Linked DNA regions of Bombyx mori. The protein of the gene in region 3 binds, or shares a complex with, the protein of the main gene of each other region. Links are inferred from orthologs where the notes say so. Each region holds a gene or a part of one and is shown on either strand. Other genes may lie near its edges.

Region 1 (4,139 bases), on a different chromosome or scaffold from region 3:
TGAGTGGCATTGAAATTTATGAATTGAACAACGTAGTTCTAAAAATCTTCTATAGCTAGAAACTAAGTAAGGGATTTTCCTGTTACGCCAGAAAGCATTTCGTCCATTAATAACTTCACAAAGATTTTGTAGTTTTAAAATTAAAGGGTGTCCATGATATTGTTGAATTTTAAATATAAATCTATCAGAAAGGTATTGTCTACGCAAAGATAGCGGCGGTTCAGAGCATTCTATTTGTAAAGCATTTATTGGAGTACTATTCATGGCTCCAATAACGATCCTGAGACTTTTATGTTGTAATAAATCTAATTTATGTAGAGGTTCTTTGTTTTCAAGACAAAAAGTTATGGAGCCAAAGTCTAATATACTACGTACCAAAGCATTATACATTAACCTAAGTACACCAGGATGAGACCCCCACCAAACGCCACTTACAGCTCTCATAATATTTATGTTTTTCTCACATTTTCTTACAATGTCGTTGATATGAGCGTTACCGTTCATACTAGAATCAAAAATGCGACCAAGAAATTTCGCCTCTTTAACCACTGGTATTCGTTCTCCATCAACAGAAATATTTACGGTGGGAACTTTTCTTTTCCGCGTAAAAACAACTATGAGACTTTTAGATTTAGATAACGAAAGATTTTGGGCAGAGAGCCAGGATGATAACTTGTTTAATGAATCGTTAAGAGTTTCCGCTGCTATTTTAATATCACGGTTAGCAGAGTAAACTAAGACATCATCTGCATATTGTAAGATGGAACAGGAAGGATCAACATTTAAATGGAGATCGAAAGTATAAATGTCATATAATAGAGGACTTAGAACAGAACCCTGAGGGATACCTTTCCAAACTTTTCTTATTTTGTCCTCAAAACCAGGTATATGTAAAGAAATAGTCCTTCCAGTATATAAATTAAAAATGAAATCAATAAATTTTAATGGTAATTTTAAATCCGACATTTTTTCTTTTAATTTAATTAAGTTTACATTATCATACGCGCTTTGAATATCTAAAAAGGCTCCCACAACCGATTCAGATTTCGAAAAAGACAAAAAAATGTCTGTTGCAAAAATGGCATGGCTATCGGACACACCTTTACCTCTTCTGAACCCATATTGAGAGCAAGGCAAAAGATTGTTATGTTCTACGTACCACTCAAATCTTTGTTTAATTAAATGTTCTGCTAATTTTACCAAAACAGATGATAACGCTACAGGTCTATAAGATAAAGGATTATTTGAATCTTTGTTAGGCTTTAATATAGGTATTATAATTTGATGTTTCCAGGAAGAAGGTATTATACCAGTGTCTATTATAGAATTAATTAAATTCAGTAAATATGATAGGGTTATAGGTTTTGAATTAATTAAGAAAGAGTAAGGAATACCATCACATCCTGGAGTGGAGTCTGATAACCGGTTCAATACTAATTGAAGTTCCGGCAAAGAAAATGAACACGCTAAGTTATTATTAATATTAGAGTTATCTGATATATAAGAGTATGTATAAGGCAATTGGTCAAACTTAGGAACCATAGTGGGTGCGATATTGTCCAAAAAAGGATTAATCCATTCTTGCGATGTATAATTTCTAGATGGGGCTATAAAAGAAGATCTAAACATTCTTATATTTTTCCAGATTAGGGAGGATGGCGAATCAGGCGAAAGCTTGGAACAAAATCTTTTCCATCCCTCTTTTTTCTTTTTCCGAAGAAGCCTTTTAGTGGCCGCTTCAACATTTTTATAAAATAAATAACTATGCATGGTCAAACATTGCTTATTAAGTTTTTCTGCATCATTTCTTTTATTGACAGCTTCTGTACATTCTTTGTCCCACCATGGGGGAGAAGATATTTTCTTATGGGCAACATTCTTTTTGGGGATATGTTTATCTGCAGCTGCTAAGTATGCCGTAATAAGGTTATCATACGCCTTGTTTATGTTGTTATAATCATCAAGAGTAGATAAACTTGGAAGGGACATAATTTTCGATTCGACTTCTTGACTAAACAGTTCCCAATCATAGTTATTTAATCTGAACTTAAATAACGGCGGTAGTGGATTAAAAGTGCCTGTTTTACCAGAGGGCAAGGAAATTAATAAGGGATAATGATCACTGCCACAGGACAGCGTTAAACATTCCCAGTTTAACAGTGAAGACAAACTGGCTGAACTAAGTGTAATATCAACATAACTTGGGGCTTGACCCGGAACTGGGCGACGAGTGGGGGACCCATCATTCAGAACACAAAGATTATGATCATTTATTATCTCCATTAAGCCATTTCCCATGCCATCATCGTTGGGTGCTCCCCATAAGAAGTGGTGAGCGTTGAAATCCCCTAGAACTACTATTGGTTTGGGTAATGATTGAATGATTTTGTCTAGTATAGGCAGAACAGATAAATCCTTTTCTGAAATGTACACAGATAGATATGTTACCTCACCTACTCGGGCAGCCACTGCTTGTAAAATATCCGAGTTAAAAGCTGGGATTGGCAAAGAAGAAAATCTGTGATTATTACGAATTAAAAGGGCTGTGCCACCATACCCATCATGTCTATCATGTCTGAGAATATTAAAACCGGCCATACGGAAATTGGAACCTGGAACTAACCAAGTTTCTGATATGGCTAGTAAAAAAATATTATGTGAATTAATTAAAGATATAATTTCATGTTTTTTAGGAACTATACTTTTACAGTTCCACTGGAGGACTCTGTCCATATTTAAAAATATTGAAAATTGATAGTGAAATATTATTTATAAGTGAAAGAGCAACATGTTCTGGTAGTTCTGAATTAGCAATAATATTTATAAGTGTGGATAACAATTTATTTAGTGTGTCAGAAGATGGCAACTGTGTATCCTTTTCTTTGTTGGATTGCAAAGCGGAACCTAGTTTACCTTGAGACTCATCAAATGAAATGCTGCGGATCAATGATTTATATTCTGATTTGTCATAACCCTTATTTAAAATAGATGCCTGTTTAGGCTTCTTTATAACAGTTTTTTTGTAAGAGACAGAATTTGAACTATCTACATCATTTAAACTTTGGGCAGATAGTGGAATAGATGATGTTATTTGTGAATATGATTTCTTTACAATAGGAAACAATTTAGAGGCTTCTTGGTATGATATGAGGTTTTGAGACATATGTTTTTTAATATTTGTTTGTCTACTAAACTCAGGGCAAGATTTGTTTGTAGCCATATGTTCACCTCTACAGTTAACACAAGAAAAAGTCTCAGTATTACAAGCCAGTCCGCTGTGCTCTCCACCACATTTATTACATCTAGGTTTGCTCCTGCATTGAACACGAGTGTGTCCAAAGCGACAACAATTGAAACATTGTACCGTTGGATAAATATACTGTTCAACTGGAATACTTGAAAAAAAGGAATACACTCTAGAGGGAAGAGACTGTCCGTCAAAAGTCAAGACCACAGTTTGAGTAGGAATCCATGAAGTTCCATCTGAGTTGACAGACTTCCTGTTTAATCTACGGGATTTGATAATTTGTCCATAGCCTTCTGGGATTTGCAGATTATCTACAATGTCCTCATGAGTCCACTCCTGAGGGATACCCTTTATCAAACCCATTTTACATATATTATATGTAGGAATCACTACATTATACAATGGATTCATAGACATGTTGGATATGAAAATATTGGCATCACTATGTGTTTTAAAAGTTATTGCCAGGCGATTACGACCTACTCGTTTAATTCCATCCTGTAATATATTACCAAGATTGCTTTTCTTTAGAAAATTTCCAAATTTAAGTGGGTGCAGTGATGTAGTACTATTAGAATCTGAGATTAAAGTAACATGGACCATATATGGGCCAGGATCCTGTTCAGTGTATTTTTTTCTGTAAACAGAGTCGGCCATTGGGGTCTCAGATGGTGTCATAGAAGGACTCGCTGAAGTAGGCTCTGGTGAGGTCTGTACAATTTGGCGAGGAGGCACTATAAGCTTATTTACGTTATTTGCAAGATTTCCCGCCAAAGCCTGCTGCAGCGGGCGCAACGAAAGTTGTTTGTCCGAGATCTTTGGTTTAAAAGAATTAACAAGTTGTTTCTTTTTTTGGGATTTCTTCGATTTAACGTTGACAAATTCAGATACA
Region 2 (3,408 bases), on a different chromosome or scaffold from region 3:
AAAGGATCTACCAGGCAAAGCCTAGCTAAACTATCCTAATCCTAAACCTAGGACTTTAACCTACATCTAAACCTAATCCTAAACCTAAGAATCCTCGCAACGAAAAAGATCGGACCATACCTCTGGGAATGTCGCCCAGAGGATCCCGTGATCCGCCACCCACGGACGCGCCTGGTGGAAGTCCAGCATCTCCCCCGCAGACGAGACCCACAGCACGCAATCATTGCGGGCTGAAGGTCCCGTCCAGATCGCGGGCCCCTACGTAACCTGATTCAACCCCAAAGCCAAGGTGAATGGGGTCAAGCTATTTTTTTCAGTTTTTGTGTATTTTTGTAGTGAACAATGTATAGTAACGCATTGTATATAAATATTTAAGCCTCCAGAACCATTATGATCTCCGTTTTATTACTAAAACAAAAAAAAACTATACAAATCAATGTCGAACTTAAAAAGTGTCCCAATTCTCCCCATTTTACAGTACTGAAAATGTAAACAAAAAATCAAGTAGAAAATTCATACTTTATTAGAAATCTCACATAGAGAAATAATCTTATACTCTAATACATCACTCATTATTATGATTCATTTGATATTTCTTTCATATCAACATCATCACAAATAGTCTCTGCATCATCTAGTTCATCTAATAATGCTTGTAATTGATGTATTGAAGTTACAAGCACATGAAATTGTTTCTTTCGTAATGCTAACCGACTTTCCAATTGCTGTTTGGTGGTTTCCAAGTTTGCTAGTTCAGTCTTCAGAGTGCTCAATCTCTCAGAGGTTTCCTTACGATCAGGCTGTTCACTGATAACCTTAGCCAAGACATCATATTCTATTCTGTTTTTTCTGACAGTCTTTGCTTGTGCTAAATCTGTTTTGCTCTTCTGTATGTTCTCTTTGGCCACCTCTATTCCGCTTTCTAGAATTTTCGAGAGTGCTTCGTAGCTTTTTAATTCAGCAGCCATCATTTCAGAACCGAGTTGCGATTTTGTGACAGCAAATTCGCATTGTGCCAGTTGAGCTAACATACGATCATGAGTAGCTTTACTAAAACGAGAAATCTTAATCGTATTACATATTCTGGAACTACAAAAACTTACATTTTGACTGCAGATTTTTATTCTCATAATAAAACAACAAATGTATATGGGGAATAAATGAAAAGGTTAATGAACACTTAATTGAATATTAAGGCTCTTTATTATAGATAAACAGATGCCAACATTTCCCTGCTGGTATTAAATGCTTACCAGAACCTTTGGGACACGAGATAGAAGTTTCAATTGAATTTACAATGGCAATTCTACCCTTCAAATTGGAAGCTATGATCAATGCGGAAGCTATGATAATTCGGAAGTGGAACAGTGTTTACGCATGTGAGCTCACAATACGTCCTAATACGGTACTATTTATTAAAACCAACCTTTCTTCCGGTTTGTCATCCGTTGTATTGCACCATTTTATCAAAGTTTTTAAAAGTACATTCAGTCTCCTGTCGTCTCCAGTACCGTCACCGTCGATCAGAAGTCTTCTACGAATCACATCTTCTGGAAATAACCAATGAGTATTGAAATAGTATTTGTTTTTGAGTAGTTTTGTATTCTTAGGTAAAGTTATTTACCGTCACCCATTATGTTTGGAGTAAAATTCAAATGAAATTATGATCTCGTCCGAGTTTGCCTTATAAATTGTTAGGTAATGTTTTTATTCTACAAAATAATCTTATCATAAGCGAATTCAAATTTATCCTTGTTCTTTATATGTAAGTGCTAACTTGTGTGTTTTATTTACAAAAATCAAGAAAAATTAAAAATATTTTATCTCCAAATTTTGGCAGGTTAAATTATTAATAAAAAAAAAGTTTTTTTTATCCAACTCATAGGCAAAGGAGACATTCTCATAAGTTAAAAATGCTCTTCTTTTTATCTAAATATTTTACGACAAAGCCTGAAATCATATCTGTTGCATAAAAAATGAAATGATATAAATAAGACGATAACTATTTTTATATTTAAAGATGAAGAAAACTAAACTAAATAAAACATTCACACAGTATTACAACTTTACTATTTCACATTCCTGTCAAAATTGATTGAAACAAAATTGCTGACCGTGGTTTCTTGAGATCTCAAAATTTAATTGAACGCTGATTAAATTCTTAAGATTTTAAGAACACAAAGCTTAACCTTTTTATTTTAATTAAAAGATTTTGATCGGCTATTTTCCCTTTGCTCATTCAATGGACGAAAGAAAACCACAGACTATTATGAGATGCCTGCCAAACAAGAAAAAAAAACAGATGTCACAACCACAATTCACATGTTGTTTTGCCTTTCGAATTTCGATCCATTGTTCAGGAAATGATGAATAACTGCTATATTAAACCCTTTAAACTATTGAATCTATTTTAACAGTAAATTAGCTGAGTAAACTTTCGGAATATCTTTCACTGAAACAATGGAAACGTCAAGTTTCAGTGATAAAGTCGAGATTTATTTCTCGGAACTTGGGCGATGGCTAGTATCAATAAATAAATAAATAAAATATTTTTTGGGTAAACGTCCTTAAACTAACTAAGTGTGCATTTTCAGGAAAGTGTGGAGGAGCATACTGCTTGGTCAAGTGTTATCCTTATTTCTGAGCGGCAAATGTATATTAACAACAATGTTACAAAGCGCAACCTGGCAGTTTCCTATCACGGGGCAGCTGGTCGTGCCGTATTTAGTACTGTTTGTACTCTTTACCCCGAGCCTACTTTGTACCGGGCTGGAGAAGCTAACGAAGTAAGTTCCAATTCAATTTTAAGACATGAAAAATATCGTCTTTTAAACCAGTTCTATTATTGAAAGAAGTATAAGACAAGACTAAAATAATTAAACTTACTAGGTACTATTACTATCTTATGTTCAATGGTGAGTGCGCTAAGTTTTCTTAATATCTTCTTACTACAAATGTGGAAGTAACCAATATTTAAATCTAACTATAAAATGTTACATTTATCGAGATAATTTTCTCTTATTCTTTTGCTTTGGGATAACTTCCCGCTCTACTCTTTTTATTAGTCAGCAAAATAAAGTATAAAAACATTTCTTAATTCAAGCTAGTATCAGCTGTGACATGTTGGAAAGCTCTGTGCATTCTGTTGTGTGTTTTGCTTTTTTCTTTATTAATACAAGAAATGGAATGGTAGCTGGCCTAATTAACCTTTAAATTTTCAATGTTCAATTCAAAGATGACTGTCTGAATAGATAGTTAAATAAAAAAGTAAATGTTAAATAATAATCAAGTATTTCTACTTAAAAAAGAGATGAAACAAAAAAATAATTACATACCTAGGTATAGAAATCATGTATTTCATTTCAATAAAAGATTCCATATTTAGTAGTTAATTGGGCAATGCAACTA
Region 3 (2,525 bases):
GAAGAGAGAGCGAAATACTCGCTTCACCGCTCCGATTTTTTATTACCCAAACTGCACGGACAAAATAATTCTACTATAGTTTGCTTAAAAAACCATTTGAGCTCATTTCAGAATAAAACCGTCCCTCATTAAACTCGATATAGAACCATAGTAGTGTACAAACTTATAATTTGACTTAATTATAGTCAAATTTCGACTACCGGGGGACCATTAGTTTAAAAAAATTTTTAGTTTAATCTTTTATTACATCGTCTCAAACTTTTTCGTCTGTGTGTTGCATGTCGCGTGACGGTCGGCCGCGGAGTAGGGATAAAGTGAAAGGCGCTCGTCAGAGCAGCCAAGGCCAATATGGCGGCGCCTATAGTTCGCAGCAGCTGACCGTGTAGTGTATAGACTGTTACTCATTTGTGCCAGTGCTCCACGCTATTTTGTTTTTGTTTTTGTCACTGTCTAATGTAAATGTTTCACTTTTACCGTGGTTTCATAAAACCACACAATCCTTTTTAGTATTTTAGTTTATTTTGTATATTACATTTCCAACACTAAGAACTAGAGAGTCCCCACAGTTTGAGATTCCCCAAATCCCGTTTCCTCTCGGGCGGCTCCTTGTCCTCGCAGGCGAAGGCCAGCAGGTAGCGCGCGGGATGCCACGACACCGTGAACGTGGACGCGGACACCGGGATCTCTGCTACTTTCTCCCCTGAAACAGGTTAACAGGGGGTTACTGGTGGTAGGACCTCTTGTGAGTCCACGCGGTTAGGTACCACTACAAAAAAGTCCTGATCCTTCATCGAGGCTCTTAACCTCAATCATAAGGCTTACTGCTTCACTCTGGGAGCTGTTCGTGTGAAGACTCTTTAGGCAATCGAAGCTCCGCATTCACCTCCTCAAATTGTTCCCACCCTGATAAGGATTGCGGCTTCGAAGGCAACGCTGCTGCAAAGTCCTCTTGATACGATCTTAGATCTGACTGGGGCGTTGGCATTTTGAGTCCTTCAGTCACTTAGTCTGGCTAACCTTGCCAATTATTATGCACTTTTCTTTATAGCTGTACTTCGGCGCGCTGCCTGGACAAAGTAGATTGGGGGGGGGGGGGCTCGATAGGGCTGGCACTGTTTAGCTGTTAAGTAGGCACTTACCTAAAGGTAATTAACTTTTTAATATCTTTAATACGAAACTCTGATGACTAATTTAATATAAAATAAAAGTCCTTTTCAATTCAACAAATTTAAATCTCAGCATTTTGACAACCCAAATTTGTTTCTATTCTATCCCTAGTCTAATTTTCCCTCTAATTTTCGGTACTGGAGTCCCGTACAGTCACAAACAAAATTGTGAAGTCAAGTTAGTAACTGTGGATCGTTACCGCTGACCGTAAATGAATATAAAATAGACGAACCTGTCTCCGTGTCTCCGATGTCGATGATGTGGTCCTCGCTCGCGGACGCCAGCAGCCTGCCGTCGAAGCTAAACGACAGCGTCCGGACCGGCCACTCCAACCTGCAACATTGCACACCAGATGTTCTAATTGCACGGGTAGGTCCGCACGGGTAGGTACCACCACCCTGCCTATTTCTGCCGTGAAGCAGTAATGCGTTTCGGTTTGAAGGATGGGGCAGCTGATGTACTGTAAAGACAGGTCTTAGAACTCATGTCTCGAAGTGGGTAGCGACGTTTACATTGTAGATGTCTAAGAGGTCCGGTAAACACTCAACACCAGGTGGGCCGTCAGCTCGTCCACCCATTTAATTGCAACAATATTAAATTTCCCTGTGTGGCTGGTATTTGTAATTGAGAAAGAATGAAACACTGCCTTTTCCCAGGATAATTACTTTTAACACTCTCTTGTGAATACAGTATAATTGCACAGCAACGGTTGCTATGTTTCCATGTTAAATGAATAATGTATTCTGGGTACCATTTAGGTAATATCCACCGTTCATCCTTCATCGCAAATTTCCAACTTCCAAGTCCATTTCCAAGTCTATTTATTAGTATCAGAGGTCTCAGTATTTTACTCTTCATCTTCACGTAATATTAAAAATACAAGTTTGTCTGTTTGTTTGCATTTCGCAGACTGTTGGAGCTTGGTCAATAGCCCGCACTAGTGAAATTAGTTTACATTTTGGCATAATATTGTGTATATTTGATATCTTTTACAGCACATTCAATGAACTAGAACAAAAAAAAATACCTGGAGAAAACTCTTAAGCAGGCCAGTTCATTGACATCCCATAGTGAGACCAGAGCATCGGCTGACCCAGTAGCAAAGTATCTACCGGTTGGGTCGTGCTCGATGCAGATACACGTACCAGGATGCGCCTTCAGTACTGTCTGCAATTCTAGAGATGGATAACTGGAGAGAAATATTAATTTTCGTTATTTTACTAAACTCTCACCATACATACTTTGGCGACTCACTTATCCGCCACTACATTGACACATACCACTACTTGGGCAACCGCCTTATAATTTCGACCAAATTGCTGTCACTTGTGATTTTAGGCCACATCCGCTATTGTTGT

What was found. The genes of interacting proteins can lie anywhere in the genome.
Region 1: THO complex subunit 3 (region 3) and THO complex subunit 1 share a complex: the UniProt entries of both Homo sapiens proteins name them as parts of the transcription/export (TREX) complex. The link is inferred for Bombyx mori from reciprocal best matches to the Homo sapiens genes THOC3 and THOC1.
Region 2: THO complex subunit 3 (region 3) and THO complex subunit 7 homolog share a complex: the UniProt entries of both Homo sapiens proteins name them as parts of the transcription/export (TREX) complex. The link is inferred for Bombyx mori from reciprocal best matches to the Homo sapiens genes THOC3 and THOC7.

The regions. Positions count from the first base shown.
Region 1 is NC_085117.1:15,880,659-15,884,797, forward strand, and holds the start of THO complex subunit 1, read right to left. Parts: upstream 2,801-4,139; 5' UTR 1-2,800. UniProt on the Homo sapiens protein: Component of the THO subcomplex of the TREX complex which is thought to couple mRNA transcription, processing and nuclear export, and which specifically associates with spliced mRNA and not with unspliced pre-mRNA.
Region 2 is NC_085129.1:4,007,709-4,011,116, reverse strand, and holds THO complex subunit 7 homolog, read right to left. Parts: upstream 2,098-3,408; 5' UTR 1,635-2,097; coding exon 1,625-1,634; intron 1,551-1,624; coding exon 1,427-1,550; intron 1,051-1,426; coding exon 576-1,050; 3' UTR 501-575; downstream 1-500. UniProt on the Homo sapiens protein: Component of the THO subcomplex of the TREX complex which is thought to couple mRNA transcription, processing and nuclear export, and which specifically associates with spliced mRNA and not with unspliced pre-mRNA.
Region 3 is NC_085132.1:2,069,957-2,072,481, reverse strand, and holds the end of THO complex subunit 3, read right to left. Parts: intron 2,357-2,525; coding exon 2,195-2,356; intron 1,501-2,194; coding exon 1,400-1,500; intron 701-1,399; coding exon 543-700; 3' UTR 501-542; downstream 1-500. UniProt on the Homo sapiens protein: Component of the THO subcomplex of the TREX complex which is thought to couple mRNA transcription, processing and nuclear export, and which specifically associates with spliced mRNA and not with unspliced pre-mRNA.